Linked DNA regions of Oryctolagus cuniculus. The protein of the gene in region 2 purifies or fractionates together with the protein of the main gene of each other region. This does not show direct contact. Links are inferred from orthologs where the notes say so. Each region holds a gene or a part of one and is shown on either strand. Other genes may lie near its edges.

Region 1 (4,071 bases), on a different chromosome or scaffold from region 2:
GGGCTTGGTCTTGTTCAGTTCTTCCTGATCGATGTACTTCTCCTTGATCTTCTTGGTTTTCTTTTTCTTGTCCTTGCCGCTGTCATCTTCCTCATCGGAGCCCACATCTTCGATCTTGGGCTTCTCATCGTCCTCCTTATCTTCCTCCTCCTTTTTCTCTTCCCCTTTTTCTTCCTCTGCTTCATCATCACTGATTTCCTTTTCTCTTTCCTTCTCCAACTAAAGCACCCAGAAACACTCGTCAGTTTTGAGCACCGACCCTCAGGGCAAGCAAATGGCCCAGCCCACCAGAAGCACAGGCAGGCTGCCTCCGCGGGAAGCATACTCACGTAGAGGGTGATGGGGTAGCCTATGAACTGCGAGTGCTTCTTCACCACCTCCTTGACCCGCCTCTCCTCCAGGTACTCAGTCTGGTCCTCCTTGAGATGCAGGATCACCTTGGTGCCTCGGCCAATAGGCTCCCCTGCAGACCAGGAGGGCAGGCGGTGAGCGAGCTGCCCCAGGACCGCCTGCTGCACACTCGCCCTGTGAAGCAGCGCCTCCCGGCCACTCACCGTGGTCGGCGCGCACGGTGAAGGAGCCCCCAGCAGAAGACTCCCAGGCATACTGCTCGTCATCGTTGTGCTTTGTGATCACGACCACCTTCTCGGCCACCAGGTAGGCAGAATAGAAACCGACGCCGAACTGCCCGATCATGGAGATGTCGGCACCAGCCTGCAGAGAAGCGGGAACGGTCAGACTCGTGTCCTGCAGAGAACAGAGGCCCGGCCGCACGTCGAGGGCTGGCTGCCACCTACCTGCAGAGCCTCCATGAAGGCTTTAGTCCCCGACTTGGCGATGGTCCCCAAGTTGTTGATGAGATCGGCCTTGGTCATGCCAATGCCGGTGTCCACCAGCGTCAGCGTGCGGTCCTGGGGGCTCGGGATGATGTCGATCTTCAGCTCTTTGCCGCTGTCCAGCTTGGAGGGGTCCGTCAGGCTCTCATAGCGGATCTTGTCCAGGGCCTGCAAGGCAGCACCAACAGCGGATTTCTTAGCCGTCTCTTCAGCGTTAGGAACCTCTTGGATTGCTACTCTCACGCTGTAACTCTGACTGCCCCATCATCCTACACGAACTGTGAACTCTTAGAGTGAGTAATAAACGTGCCATTTAATGGTAACAGAAAATTGCGTCCTTGAAATACCCCTGGAAGTGAGAACCTTGGGCCTCACTGGACTAGGAGCCGCGTGGTCACACTGGCCCGCTCGTCCAGGGAGCACCCGGACAAACCCCTTCAATAGCAATCAGTTTTCCCCCTTCGGGAGGAGCCCAGCCAGCCATGAAACACGAAGGAACTCACATCAGACGCGTTGGAGATCAGCTCCCGCAGGAAGATTTCCTTGTTGGAGTAGAAGGTGTTGATGATGAGAGACATGAGTTGGGCAATTTCCGCCTGGAAGGCGAAAGTCTCCACCTCCTCCTCTCCATGGTGCACTTCCTCGGGCATCTGGAACAGGAGGGTCAAGAATCAGGAAGGTAGCGGCCCCAGAACTGACGCTTCTGAAATTCAGATGGTGTTTAAACTGCTTTGGGCGGGGTTACTGAAGACACGCCCTTTCTTAAAACCTGTGGGGTGAATACTAACAACCACCGAGTCAGGTCAAGAGCAAAGCCCTCCTCAACCAGACAAGCAGGTAGCATGGAGCAGGGGTGACCAGCAGCCGCTCACCACGCTGGTCCCAACCCAGACAAGGGACTCCCGCCCCACGTTCAAACGCCAGCATCACTGACCACACGTCTCTTTGATGTGGGCGCTGGTTTTATTCTCAAACTGCTCGCCCGTAGGCAGCTCTTCTACCCCTGTAGTGTGGATGCGCCCAAGGCCCGATCGCAGCCCCACGCGGCAGGGCACACTGACACCCGAGAAACAGCGGTAACCGGCTCGCGGGGCAGTCCACGCGGGACAAAGAACAGAGCAGGCGAAGGCTGCCCCGTGACGCCCCAGCACCTGCTCGCACCCAAGTAAAATGGTGCCCGGGGCCGCGGACCGACCCTCGTCACTGCCGGACATGCGTCGGCCGCAGCCCCGCGAGAAGGGGGCGCCACAGCGCGCCTCGCCATCGCCCCAGCATCCGGGCACTGGGGCGGAGCATCGGGCTCCAGAAGCTTCGAGAACAATCTCCGCGCTCGGGGAGGGGCGGGGGAGGGAGCCTATGAATCTTCCAGAGCCTGTCCCCTCCCACTCGAGGGCTGCGGAAAAGACCTGCCACACGCCAAATGCGTTTCTGCCCGCGGCGGGTCCCGCACGGACCTCGAGGGCCGAGCAGCAGCGGCAACCCAGGCGCGCAGTGCTGAGTCACCCGCGCGCGGACCCGGCCGCCTCGCGGCCCTCGTAGCCGCGTCCGGAAGTGGAGGGGCAAACATGGCAGCGCCCCGGGCCGGCGCGGCCACCACGTGCAGCCGGCCCCCGCCGCGGCCCCGCGCCGCCGGCCCGGCGCGCCGGTGCAGGCCGACCGGACGCTGGAAAGCCTCCACGCACCACCCCCGCAGCCCGAGCGCGCGGGGACCCACGGGCCGCCCCGCACCGCGGCGTCTGGCTCCCGAGCTGCGCAGCGACAGCACCCGCGGGGGAACGGCCTGCAGGGACGCGGCTGCCTTACCTTGAAGGGAAAGGGCTGCGAGCACGAGAGAGCACGGAGGGCCCGGACTGCCAACCGCACACGGCACGAGGCAGCGCGGGGGTGACTCAAGAGAGCTCTTGGGAGCCCCCAGCCAGCCTATATAAGGCGAAGCACAGCCCAGCCGCCTCCCCCGGATCCCTCCGCCTTAAAGGCGGACGCCCGCGAGCCCCGCACCTGCCGGCGCCCGCCCACCTTGACGTCATGGTCCGGAATAGGGGGCGGGCGGGGAAGAGCCAGAGCCGCCAGCCTCGGTGTGGGCTCGTGAGCTCCTGTTCTCTGCACGGCCAGGGCGTGACCCCTGCCACGATTAGGGACTGAGAGTGCTCATATGCCTCAACAGTGGATCTGCGAGCGAGGACCCCACCGGCTCCCCCAAAAGCCCTCCCACAACCAGGAGGCCGAGCCGACGGGGACTTGAAGCGAGCAGAGGTAGTCACTCCCACCCAGTCGTCTAACTAGGATCTGCCACATATATCCCCCCTCCTCCCGGCGAACGGCCCAGCTGCCTGCAGCCCCCTGGGGCGGGGGAGGGGCGCCGGCCCGGGAGGGAGGGGACTCTTTGCTGGCGTGCGGCGGAAGGAGCGGCGGCAGCGGTGCTGCGGCCACTTCCAGCAGTTTCCAGGCCAGTCTCGGCGGCCCCGCCCCCGCCGCCGCCTCCCCTCGAGGCTCCTCCCCTCGCGCTGCGGCCCGGGCAGTGTAGGTACTGCAGCTCGGGCCGACCCCTGGGCGGAGCGGGTGGGCTGCCGCTGCTCGGCCCTGCTACCCGCCTCGTCCGCCCCCGGAGCGCGGCACTGCCCCGCCGCTGAGGGGCACCTGGCCCTCCGCCTCTCCCGCCGGCCGCACACCTCGGGCAGCGGAAATGTTTTTCGGGCGCCTCCATCCAAGCCGAGACTGGGGGTGCCCATCCCTTCCCGAGCCTTCGCGGCAGCCCCCCAATCCCTAAACACTGGTTGAGGCGCCCTGCTTACAGGGTCACCTCAAGCTATTTCCCAAGCTGGTTTCGGATTTTACGCCCTCGTTCGCGTCTCTAGCTGCGGGGGCAGGGGGAGGGGAGGGTCTCCAGGGACCCCTGCCGGTGGTCGCCTGCCCCGTGGGAACCAAGTTCCTTTGCGACCCTCGGCCATGCGGCAGCCCAGGGAGCCGCGGGTCGCGCCCGCCTGGCCCAATTTGGACCCTTTGCCTGCCTTCCGGCTGCCGGCGGACCTGCCTTTCCCAAGGGTCCCCTGAAAGTCTGCTGGACCCGCGTCCTTCCCAGGAGACCCTGGCCACGCCCTGCTCCGTGCTCCCCAGCCGGCCAGCCCCGGCACCCGGTTCCCCCTCCTTAACCAGCTTTGGCCGCATGCTGGCTTCCAGAGAACAAAGGAGGACCCTTCTTTTCTTTGCGCTGTCCACGTGGTCGTCCCGGCCGTCA
Region 2 (3,477 bases):
GCTGTGACCCTCAGCAAGGTGAAGCAACTTGCAGAGGGCCCGGGGTTCCCACTGTGGGCTCCCCAAGGAGAGGACACGCCCTCCTCATCCTTCCCCGCCCCCTCCTGTTCTGCTCCCTCCCTCCGCAGACACCTTCCTTGCCCTTGCCTTGGTCCTGCTGCCCGCCTTCCCCACAGACACTCGGACACTGCCCGGATGCACAGGTGGCCCCTGCGTCTCCGCCCACCGTGTCCCTGCCGTGCCGGGCTTCTGGGGGCCTGGGGTTGAGCTGGCTGGGGAGCACTGCCTCCCACGTGCCTTCCCTAGCCACAGTATCACCCCCACGCAACCACCAGAAGCAAGCAAAAAGCCCACTCCAGCCTGCCCTGACCTCCCTGTATTGCTAGTGGGTGGTAAGGTGGGCTTGGCAGGCGGGCTGGTGGGTGAGGGGCTTAGGGGCTGTGCGGGGGATGCTGGGTGCATGCACCCCCGCCCCCGGCCCCCCGCGCGGCCCTTCACCTCATGGCCTTGTGCCCTCAGATTGCCGAAGGCATGGCGTACATAGAGCACATGAACTCCATCCACCGCGACCTGAGGGCGGCCAACATCCTCGTGTCCGAGGCGCTGAGCTGTAAAATCGCTGACTTTGGCCTGGCCCGCATCATCGACAGCGAGTACACCGCCCAGGAGGGTGAGCGGGCCTGCCCTAACCCCGGACTCCACAAGCCCCCGTGGGAAGGGACCTCAGCGTTGTGAGGCACCCACACCTGCACCTGCACAATCGCCTGTCCTGGGTGCATTGGGCAGAGCAGACCGTCCACAGGGGAGTGGCTCTGCAGGGAGACAGGCGTGGGGGTGCTGCCTGGAGCTGATCCCCAGTGCACGGCACCACAGCAAAGGCACTGAGAAGTCCTGCAGTGACCTTTACGTGTACATAGGCCTCACCTCCAGTCCCCCAGCTATTTTGAGCCCCAAATACTTTGCCCGTTTGGTTCCTGTACACTGTCCACCAAAGCAGAGTTTCACGGATCAGACTTTGAGCAGCAGCGCCTGCACCGGGTCAGGCTTCCCCCGGAGCACTCTGCCTCTGTCTATCGCAGCTCGGGAGAAGCGAAAGTGAGCATAGGTGTCGCTGTTAGGCGAGCACAGTAACTAGTGGGTCCAGGTCCAGGAGGAGAGATGGGCTTGGTCCCTCAGTGACCGAGATAGCAAGGCCACGGAAAAGCTCAGGTGGGCACAGCATGGGCTGCTCAGAAAGACTCCAGGATTCGATTCCTGCCTCACAGCACCCCAGGGAGGCACCCACATCACCTGCCATCTCCAGGTTGCAGGACAAGTTCACGTGTGCGGGGAGGGGGAGATTCTGCCATCCCGGATGGACGCACTTTTATGAGGTCCATGTGCCCTCCATGCAAAGACCCAGAGGGGTGATGGGGAGTGCTCTTGTGTCCTGGGGTATCTTAGTGACTCCTGGAGGCAGCTCTGCTGTGTCCAGGAGCCGAGCCCAGCAAGGCCCCAGAGCGGGGGCAGGCTGGGGGTGTGTAGGGGTGCGGGCACCAAGGCACCACCTCTCAGAGCCTCCTGGGGCTTTTTCTGCAGGAGCCAAGTTCCCCATCAAGTGGACTGCGCCCGAAGCCATCCAGTTCGGGGTGTTCACCATCAAAGCAGACGTGTGGTCATTTGGGATCCTCTTGATGGAAATTGTCACGTATGGGCGGGTGCCATACCCAGGTAGGCTGTGCCCCACAGCTCTCCCGACGCTGCCTGGCTCCCCATGCCGTCCTGGGGTGGGGGTGGGGAGACCGGCGCTGCCCGTGCTTGCCACAGCCAGGTCCTGTCAGAGACCCAGGCAGGTCCCGGGGATGGGGGTGGGGTGGGATTGTGCTGCTTTATCATCTTTGCTCTGACCTCAAGTGAGCTCTGAAAACAGCAATCAGAGTGAACTCCACTTCATTCCCAGCCGATCTGTGTCAGCTGGGGGCAGGTTGTCTCTCCCTGGTTCTTACACCTGGGGTGTATGCCAGAGCCCCACCCTGAGCAGGCAGAATGCAAAACCCCCACTCTCCGCACCGCTCAGCCTGGCAGTCGGCCGGGGTGAATTTTCAGGGCACCTGCCCAGTGCGTGGCGGGTGTCTCAGGCAATCACAGATCATCATAGAGGATCCTCCCCGGGGGAGGCTGCCCATTCAGGAGGAAACGCACAGCCTCTCTGCAGCCTTTCTGCCAACCCTAGACAGAGACGGCCCGAGCCGGCGACCGGGAGGAAGCAGGGATCTGCGTCCTTGCGGCGCGCGCCCTCCCCGTGCTGAGCCTGGCGCCCCGCCCCGCGCTGTCCGCTGCCCGCAGGAATGAGCAACCCCGAGGTCATCCGCAGCCTGGAGCGCGGCTACCGCATGCCGCGCCCGGACTCCTGCCCGCCCGAGCTGTACCGCGACGTCATCGCCGAGTGCTGGCGGGACCGGCCCGAGGAGCGGCCCACCTTCGAGTTCCTGCAGTCGGTGCTGGAGGACTTCTACACGGCCACCGAGCGGCAGTACGAGCTGCAGCCCTAGGCGCGCGGCCCCGCCCCCTGGCTCACCTGTGCGAGCCTCGGGCCCGGGACGAGCCGCACCTGTGGACCGCTGCGGCTCTTCTTCAGGCCGCGGGCGAGCCGGACGGGCCGGGGGGTACTGGCGCACCCACGTCTCCGGATCAGGAACCAGGGGTAGAGGCGACCTCGCAGGATCGCCGGCTGGGCCCTGGAACGACTTCCCGAGCCCCTCTGTGCGTTGGCACCACGGGGCAGTACCGTGTGGCTTTTCACGCCTGTCGTTCGCGCTGACCGCCGCAGGGTTAAGCCTCGGGAGGTGCGCAGAGCAGTGCCAGCCCCGCGCAGGCGCCGCCGTGCGCCCGGAGCCGCGCCCTGCTTGCTGCCGGGGTGGGGGGCCCCCGACCCAGGCGGCACTCCGCACTTTGGGACTGTTCTGTAATAAAGTCGCAAGAGTCTGACCTTCCCCGGGTAGTTTCTGGCGACAAGACTGGACGACGCATACCCGCTGTGCCTGAGGGTCTCCGCCCGCGCGAGCCCTGCAAGACACAGGGTCTGGGGTTGAAGCTGAGTCCCGCCCCCGCAGGGCGACTACGAACCCCGTAGTGCCTTTTCCGACCGGCAGGGGGCGTCCTCACCCCACTTATCCCCGGCCCATGGACGCGGATCTGAAGCCTGGGCGCAGCTAAGGCTCTAAACCGATGACAGGGGGCAAACGCCAGGAGTCTGGCTTGGTGGCCACTGTTGTCGCTCTGCAGCCGAGGAAGCTGCCCTAGCGCCTTACCCTACAGATGAAGGGGGTCACCCAGTGCTCCACAGACATCTCCTCGGGGCCCTCGGGGCCCTCCTCTTGTCCCTGGAAGATTCTATCTCCTAGTCTTGGGCTGGATCTGCAATCGTGGTCCTTCAGCAGCAGTTCAGTGGCGCAAGCCTCGGCTTGGCCCCTTGCTCTCAGCCCTAGCTGCAGGGAG

Evidence for each region. The genes of interacting proteins can lie anywhere in the genome.
Region 1: the proteins of BLK (region 2) and HSP90AB1 purify together in Homo sapiens (affinity purification with mass spectrometry; 3 studies listed by BioGRID and IntAct, with this or other methods). This does not show direct contact. The link is inferred for Oryctolagus cuniculus from reciprocal best matches to the Homo sapiens genes BLK and HSP90AB1.

The regions. Positions count from the first base shown.
Region 1 is NC_091436.1:125,882,759-125,886,829, forward strand, and holds the start of HSP90AB1 (heat shock protein HSP 90-beta), read right to left. Parts: upstream 2,847-4,071; 5' UTR 2,640-2,846; intron 1,487-2,639; coding exon 1,340-1,486; intron 1,005-1,339; coding exon 798-1,004; intron 715-797; coding exon 555-714; intron 464-554; coding exon 330-463; intron 220-329; coding exon 1-219. UniProt on the Homo sapiens protein: Molecular chaperone that promotes the maturation, structural maintenance and proper regulation of specific target proteins involved for instance in cell cycle control and signal transduction. Undergoes a functional cycle linked to its ATPase activity.
Region 2 is NC_091433.1:42,965,503-42,968,979, reverse strand, and holds the end of BLK (tyrosine-protein kinase Blk), read left to right. Parts: intron 1-519; coding exon 520-670; intron 671-1,578; coding exon 1,579-1,710; intron 1,711-2,325; coding exon 2,326-2,531; 3' UTR 2,532-2,967; downstream 2,968-3,477. UniProt on the Homo sapiens protein: Non-receptor tyrosine kinase involved in B-lymphocyte development, differentiation and signaling. B-cell receptor (BCR) signaling requires a tight regulation of several protein tyrosine kinases and phosphatases, and associated coreceptors.